Linked DNA regions of Neurospora crassa OR74A. The protein of the gene in region 2 interacts with the protein of the main gene of each other region in a biochemical or structural test. Links are inferred from orthologs where the notes say so. Each region holds a gene or a part of one and is shown on either strand. Other genes may lie near its edges.

The links.
Region 1: the proteins of NCU07734 (region 2) and NCU08989 form a complex in vitro, tested with the Saccharomyces cerevisiae proteins (2 studies listed by BioGRID, with this or other methods). The link is inferred for Neurospora crassa OR74A from reciprocal best matches to the Saccharomyces cerevisiae genes GCS1 and ARL1.

What each region holds. Positions count from the first base shown.
Region 1 is NC_026503.1:4,145,123-4,148,405, forward strand, and holds NCU08989 (ADP-ribosylation factor 1), read right to left. Parts: upstream 2,327-3,283; 5' UTR 1,788-2,326; coding exon 1,665-1,787; intron 1,595-1,664; coding exon 1,187-1,594; intron 1,119-1,186; coding exon 1,098-1,118; 3' UTR 587-1,097; downstream 1-586. Other genes in the region: NCU08990 (60S ribosomal protein L39), read left to right, coding at 2,552-2,557, 2,776-2,876, 3,091-3,139. UniProt on the Saccharomyces cerevisiae protein: Recruits golgins such as IMH1 to the Golgi. Can bind and hydrolyze GTP. May be involved in trafficking events within the endosomal system.
Region 2 is NC_026504.1:2,054,802-2,058,553, forward strand, and holds NCU07734 (zinc finger protein gcs1), read left to right. Parts: upstream 1-1,493; 5' UTR 1,494-1,879; coding exon 1,880-1,927; intron 1,928-2,074; coding exon 2,075-2,839; intron 2,840-2,961; coding exon 2,962-3,321; 3' UTR 3,322-3,719; downstream 3,720-3,752. Other genes in the region: NCU07735 (Grp1p), read left to right, coding at 1-56, 113-445. UniProt on the Saccharomyces cerevisiae protein: GTPase-activating protein (GAP) for ARF1 and ARF2. Involved in intracellular vesicular transport. Required for transport from the trans-Golgi network.

The sequences.
Region 1 (3,283 bases), on a different chromosome or scaffold from region 2:
CTCCATAACATAGGTTTGATCAGCGGATCGAACGCCGCCTCGCATGAGAGCATATAGTGAAAGTAGTTGGGGCAGCTGCCAGATGGTGAAGACGGAGTTACTGAGATAAACAGCATAGGTCAAACGAAGCCTAAGAAACTAGTGAAACCACCTTCAAATCGCTTCCCTATGTATTGGGCAGAATCTCTTCCCGGCTGAATCACGAATATCCGAATTCCCTCCAAATGTTTCGATTGACATAAGAGAAGATAAGCGGGAGGAAGAAGACAAAGGGTAAGAAAGAAAAGGAAAAAAAAAAAAAAAAATTGCAAACCTCTATGGGCATTGAGGAAAAGTTAGATCCGGTCTGATCTCGTAGATAAGTTGGTCATCGCATGTTGAAAAGTGGCATGAAGGACGACCACCGGAAAGTACACTCCCGCGTTGTAAGAGTTTATAATTTGCAATGAGGAAATTCTAGACTGTGAGCACGATGGCTGAGCATCACCTCACTGGTGTGTACTGTTGGCTCAATTTGGACTTGGCTTTGAACCTTTGCCTGAAGCACTATTCTGGGCTCACTCGGAATTCGAGCCGCAAATACCCAGGTCAACTGATGACCAAGCTTAGAGTCACCGCGCAAGAGAATATAAGTAATATCGGAGTCGGGAATATGTCGTGTGAAACGGGATATTGCCCAACGCGCAGACATGTTGTAAGAGTCCGAATTTCGTCTTTTTTGTTGTGTGCTTGAAGTCTCAATACCCGACGATCCGACGTTGAATAGTCGCCGGAGCCAGTCCATTAATTAAAAGAAGGCTATAGAAAGCTCGTAAGCTGATATATGTAGGCAGAAATCTCTGAACCCTTATGTCGTTTTGTTTGTCATCAAGGCATCCGCTGGTACCAACCACCACGGGACATAACCCCCAAGAACGCCGAGAAACCCGGCCTGCCGCCGCCATACGTATCCGATATACCCAAGTCATGTGCCGGTATGTAATTCCGTCGGTACGACCTATTCCCGAATGTTGATGTTGTTGTCATTTGTTGTTGTACAGATTCTCCTCGTCATCTCAAAGCCGGTGGTGATGTTTGCGCATTCCCTGCTTTGGCCACTACTCCTCTTTTACGGTTTGCTGCTCACTTGGTTAGCACATAGACAGAATAACGGGCCGGGAGCAGCAAAAGAAGAGGTTAAACATACCACCAACCAATCCATGCCCTCTGTGATGCCTGTCCCTTCCACTGCACTGCAGGCCATGATGCTCCAGTTCCTGTCCCTTAGCTCGCCCAGGCGGAGAGCCTGAGAGATATCTGCCGCCCCCTTTGCACCTGGCTGATCTTGCTTGTTGGCAAACACCAAAAGGGCAGCGTCCTTCAGCTCTTCCTCATTCAACATAGCGGCCAACTCATCCGCCGCGGTTTGCAATCGCTCCATATCGGTCGAGTCAACAACGAATATTACCGCCGCCGTGTTCGCATAGTAGCACCTCCAGTACGGGCGGATGCTAGTCTGACCACCCAGATCCCACACATTGAAGTTGAGATTCTTGTATGTGACTGATTCGACGTTGAAACCGATTGTTGGTATCGTGGTTACTACCTCGCCAATCTACAACATGTTGTCAGCTCTCCGAACTGTGCGCGCTTCCGTTCGTCAGCTTTTCAACAGGTGGGCCTACCTTGAGCCTGTATAGTAGTGTTGTCTTTCCGGCATTATCGAGGCCCAATATCAGAATGCGGATCTCCTTCTTTGTCCAAAAGAGGTTGGACAGGCTAGACAGCCATGACATGCTCTGACCCATCTTTGCGTGTTGGCTAGTGCCCCGGAAGACTGAGAGCGCGTTGAGTTCGTAGGAGTGTGATGATTGAGGCAGTTGATAATTAGACGGATGAGGAGAGGATTTGACCAGGCAAGGCGATTCCTTGATACAGATCGGGCTCTAACGTGTCGGATCGGGCCGTACTAGTCGATGGAAATGATGACGGCGAGTAGTGTATTATCGAGGAGGCAGCGAACGGAAGCGCGGTCAGCCCAGCTGGTATCTTTCGGATGCTCCCGTGCGCACGGTTGAAGACAGGATAAGCGAGGGTTTGTTGCGCCGTGGTATTGCGAAAAAAAAAAGTGTTTTGGGTTAGGTTGCTTCAAGATGCTCCTCTCGTTGTCATAGAGAGGCCGTCGCTCAATGCCGCCAAAGAGCTCCTTTGATCGTGCCGGCACTCAGGGGTCCCGGGAGGCAAGGCCGCCCCAAGCGCCCAGCCCAACTGCAAACATCCCGGCAATCGATTGGCAGCGAGACGGCACCGTGGAAACCTCCGATAGCCGCTTCTCGTGGCTCGTGCGCCTCCCTTCTGGACCCAAATGGACCTTCTGTCCGGTCAGAGAGCGGACTCCAAGAGTGAATGAGCCTGTGCCACAAGTACGAGCCACAGACACACACGTGACTCAGCCACATGCGCACTTTCGGGCCCTAGTGTTCTGCTTGGTTTTTGAAAGCCCACACCAAATATTCTAACCCACCTCATCGACACCAGCCAAATCGACCGGTAACTCGACAACACCGTCAAAATGCCGGTACGTAACGTCCCACCATGTTGAGCATAGAGAATGCTCGGAATCGCTCTGCTGTCGAATTTTTGGCCGTCCTGCTATGCCAGAAACGGCAGCGACACGGAATTCCCAAAATGATGATCGCAGAGCGATTGATTGAAGCATGGAGGAGGGGTCCATGACTTCACCTGCTCGAACGACGGCAAGACAAGTTATGCTGACGAGGTGCATCGCGAAAACAGAGCCACAAGACCTTCCGTGTCAAGCAGAAGCTTGCTAAGGCCCAGAAGCAGAACAGGCCTATCCCCCAGTGGATTCGCCTCCGCACTGGCAACACCATCCGGTACATATCACCATAAGCGCCCATTGCTGTCGCGTTCAGCCAGAGGAGAGGGAGAGGGATGGATAGTGACGGGGATGGTGGTGAGGGAAGCTGGAAAACAAACCAGCTGCCTCGGCTGTACCCGGCGCAACATGCCCTCTCGCGAGCTTTCTGCACTCAAGAACGCATGGCGACTGCTTCATCATGACGCTGGATGCTAACAAGAGACAACTAGCTACAACGCCAAGCGTCGCCACTGGCGCAAGACCCGTCTCGGCCTCTAAATGCTCTCACGATTCTTCCATATTCCACCCCCAACGATGGTCTTCTTTTCCTGGTTGCTCTGATCCACCTCCATTTTTCGAAAACTGGAGCTTGGGAATGCGACCTATGACGGCAACCTTCTTCTCTCGGCCTTTGTCCTACGA
Region 2 (3,752 bases):
CTTCCAAGACCAAGGTCATGGTCGCCAACCTTCCCTACGACCTGACCGAGGAGAAGGTGAGTTTTTGTGCCGACCTATGCCATGACTGGAGACATGCTAACTCTTTCCACAGCTTAAGGAACTTTTCGCTGCTTACCAGCCTTCCTCCGCGAAGATTGCTCTTCGCCCCATCCCTCGCTTCATGATTAAGAAGCTTCAGGCCCGGGGTGAGCCCCGCAAGGGCCGTGGCTTCGGCTTCGTTACCCTCGCCTCGGAGGAGCTCCAGCAGAAGGCTGTCGCTGAGATGAACGGCAAGGAGATCGAGGGCCGCGAGATCGCTGTCAAGGTCGCCATCGATAGCCCCGACAAGACCGACGAGGAGGCCAACGAACCCGAGGGCGAGGCCCAGGCCCCCACCAACGGCACTACCGAGCAGGCTGGCGCTGCTGTCACTGCCTCTGCTTAAACACTCCATTTGATGACGAGATGAGTGTGCGCACAAGTTAATAAAGATTTCGGTCACAGACACTACTTTAATCTCGACCGACACATGTCTTATGTTTTACTGGGCGCATGCATTTTTACCCTCACGATTTTGGCACGGAACGAATGATTTTCTTTTTATGGCGGGATCTGCAAGTGGGTATGAAAGCGGGAAGATTGGGCGGTGGGATAATGTGATCATGTCTGGCGTCACGGGTTATGGGGGTTTGCAAAGGCCTCAAATCGCTGGTAGACTTCAGGCATCGTTATCCTGCGGCTCTTTGCAGGCAACAAAAATCTAATATTTTTCATGACTTGTCTTCTTCATTTATGTGTTATGGATCATCTTTTATCTCAGGGTCGCTTACATTCATCTAGTGTTTTCAAACTCTCATGTTTGCAGGAGATGGTCAGTCAAATCGGTCTAGGAATAGGAAAATAAGCATGATCGGGCCAAGAAGTCATTGATATGTCATGTTTAATTAATAGGAACGCCAACGGGTAAAGTGGTTTGTGATAGATACGTGTCCAGTCATCCTCAACATGGGAATCACCTAATTGTGAGGCGTAGAAGTAGTGTTGGAGGGAACTAATGGATCCACTGCCCGTGCCTTGCGTGCCTTGATGGGTGGTTGTGACAAAGTTGGGGACGGACAGTTGCAGATGTTCCTGCAGGCCAGAGAGGGGCAGCTCCCCGTTAACAAGCGGTCCCCTGAAACGCCCCTGATCTTTATTCGCAGTGCGTGACGAATGATGAGAAAAGGCCAGGTCTGGACCTTTGCATAAAACATGGTACCTACCTAGGTAGATATGAATGGTCGACATAACGGAAGGTAGGATCCTGAAGGTTGGATGGACGGACGAGCTGGCTTGTGTACACGCACCATGCACTGTGGCCTCGATGAATACTCTTATGGCTTGTGAATTTCAATTCGGTTAGGTTGTTGCTTGAATCACGTAACTGATCATATCTTAGCAAATCTAAAATGCAGTCCCAAACTCAAGTTGTAGTAATTCGTCGGGTAGATGGAACGTGACCTAATGATCAGCATGCCTCGATCTTCCAACACTTCGGGTCGGGTTTCCGTCCTGGCTGGTCGCTCCAGTGCCACTAAAACGAAGGAAGGTAGCCGTCCGAGGTAAACCAACTGCTGAAGCGTAGGGCAGGGGGTGCCTGCAATAGCGCGGGCGACTTCATCATTCAAGTCGCCAATTGTCTGTCTGACTGATTGTCCACCAGACAACCCCTACTGTAATCCGAAACATCACGCGACGCAACATAGCGCAAGGAATCCAAAGACGGCGAACTTCTTCTTCCAATTTGCTTCGACGAGACTCTGCTCTCAAGTAGGCCGTCCCAGCGAGGAATCACGTAACCGGTCGGTTCGCGCACAATTGCACGTACAAGTTGCCCACCATGGCTACCAAAGGGATGTGGGAGATAGACCCGGAGACGAAGTCCAAGGTATGTGACCGACCAACCCGCCCAAGGCGTCCAACCCGTTCAATCGCTGTCTTTGTGAGATTAGCTGCACGATCCAGAGGGGGAAAAGCGATGTGGCGGCGCAAAGGGCCAACTGGAACCTTCCAAGCTGACTTGTGACCCTTGTAGCTCGCTGCGATGCAGAAGGAGAACAACAACAACATCTGCTGCGACTGCGGTGCCCCAAGCCCGCAATGGTGTTCACCAAAGTTCGGCATCTTTATCTGCCTCTCGTGTGCGGGCGTTCATCGCGGCCTGGGCGTGCACATCTCCTTCGTGCGCTCGGTTTCCATGGACGCCTTCAAGCAGGCCGAAATTGAGCGCATGCGGCTCGGCGGCAATGACACCTGGCGCACCTTTTTCGAGAACCATTCCGACACCAAGTTGCGCGGAATCAGCTGGGACGATGCGACGATTGCGGAGCGGTACAGCGGCGATGTTGGCGAAGAATACAAGGAGAGGCTGAGTGCCAAGGTTGAGGGGAGGGAGTACGTGCCTGGGGAGAAGAAGCCACTGGCCCAGCAGCAGGAAACAAGTCAGAGTCCAAGCAGCGTGGCTGGTGGGGTGCCATTGAGCGGCACGAGCAGTAGGACGGCCAGCCCTAAGCCGGGAACGACGATCAAGGTGGACGACAAGTACTTTGCTAAACTGGGTGCTGCCAACGCCAGCAGACCGGACAATCTGCCGCCTAGCCAGGGAGGAAAGTATCAGGGCTTTGGGAACACAGTGTCGTCGCAGCCAAAGAATGATGGCGGCGCAAGCTTGCCGGGTCTCGATGAGTTGCAAAAGGATCCCGTGGCGGCGCTGAGTAAAGGGTTCGGATGGTTTACCAAGACAGTGACCCAGACGGCGAAGACGGTTAATGAGGGTTATATCCAGCCTACAGCTAAGCAGGTATGTATCCTTGGTCTCCGCTCAACAAACCATCCCTCTGTCGGACATTGGCCCAGGACACATCTACTTGGATCACTTCGAGATACATGTTTGCTAATTTGGACTTCTTCCGCCCAATATAGATAGCCGAATCAGAGCTCGCTGCAAAAGCCCGTGTTGCGGCAGCGCAAGCCGCCGTTTCAGCACAGACTGTAGCACAGGCTGGCGCCAAAACCGCGACAGAGAGTTTCAACCGGTTTGTCGAGGGAGGACCTTCCAACTCCGCTGGTGGTGGCTATAGGTCAGTTCCCTCTGGCGGTGGTGGCAGCAACTTTGACGAGAGCAAGAGGTCGTTTTGGGATGACTTCTCTAGCGCGGCCGACCAGAGAAAGCCAGCCGGTAGCTCAATCGGGACAGCAGTTATGGGCAAGGGTGGAAGCAGCGGTAGCTCCACTGCTCCTCCCCCAGCAGCTTCCAAGAAGGACGAGTGGGATGACTGGTAGATGGCTTGTTGACCCGTAGCGTCATTGGATGAATAGTGAGGTGGAATAGTGGTAATGGAATCATTTACAGCCTATGATTTTTGTCTTTTACTGTATTGTCATTTGGGCTGATCAAGGAGGTCAACGGTGTTGTGTTCAAGGTGAGACCGACTTGGGGTGTTGAGATGCAATGGTCAGGGTCAGGGTAGGGTAGGTAAACTAATCGATATTTTCGAATCGACTCCGGCGTCGGAGGATCCAGTGTACGGCGAGGTCCCGTCGCTGAGACCAGAGAGGTGTCTACAGAAATTGGTGAGGTCAAGTGATGGCTCATTGCTCTAAGCAGTATTAGACTTGATAACGATTTCTTATTTTCGTCGAGTCACTGAACCAAGAATAAGACCAAGTGCATTGGCAGTAAGCTGACAAGGTTATCATTCACATGTTGACAT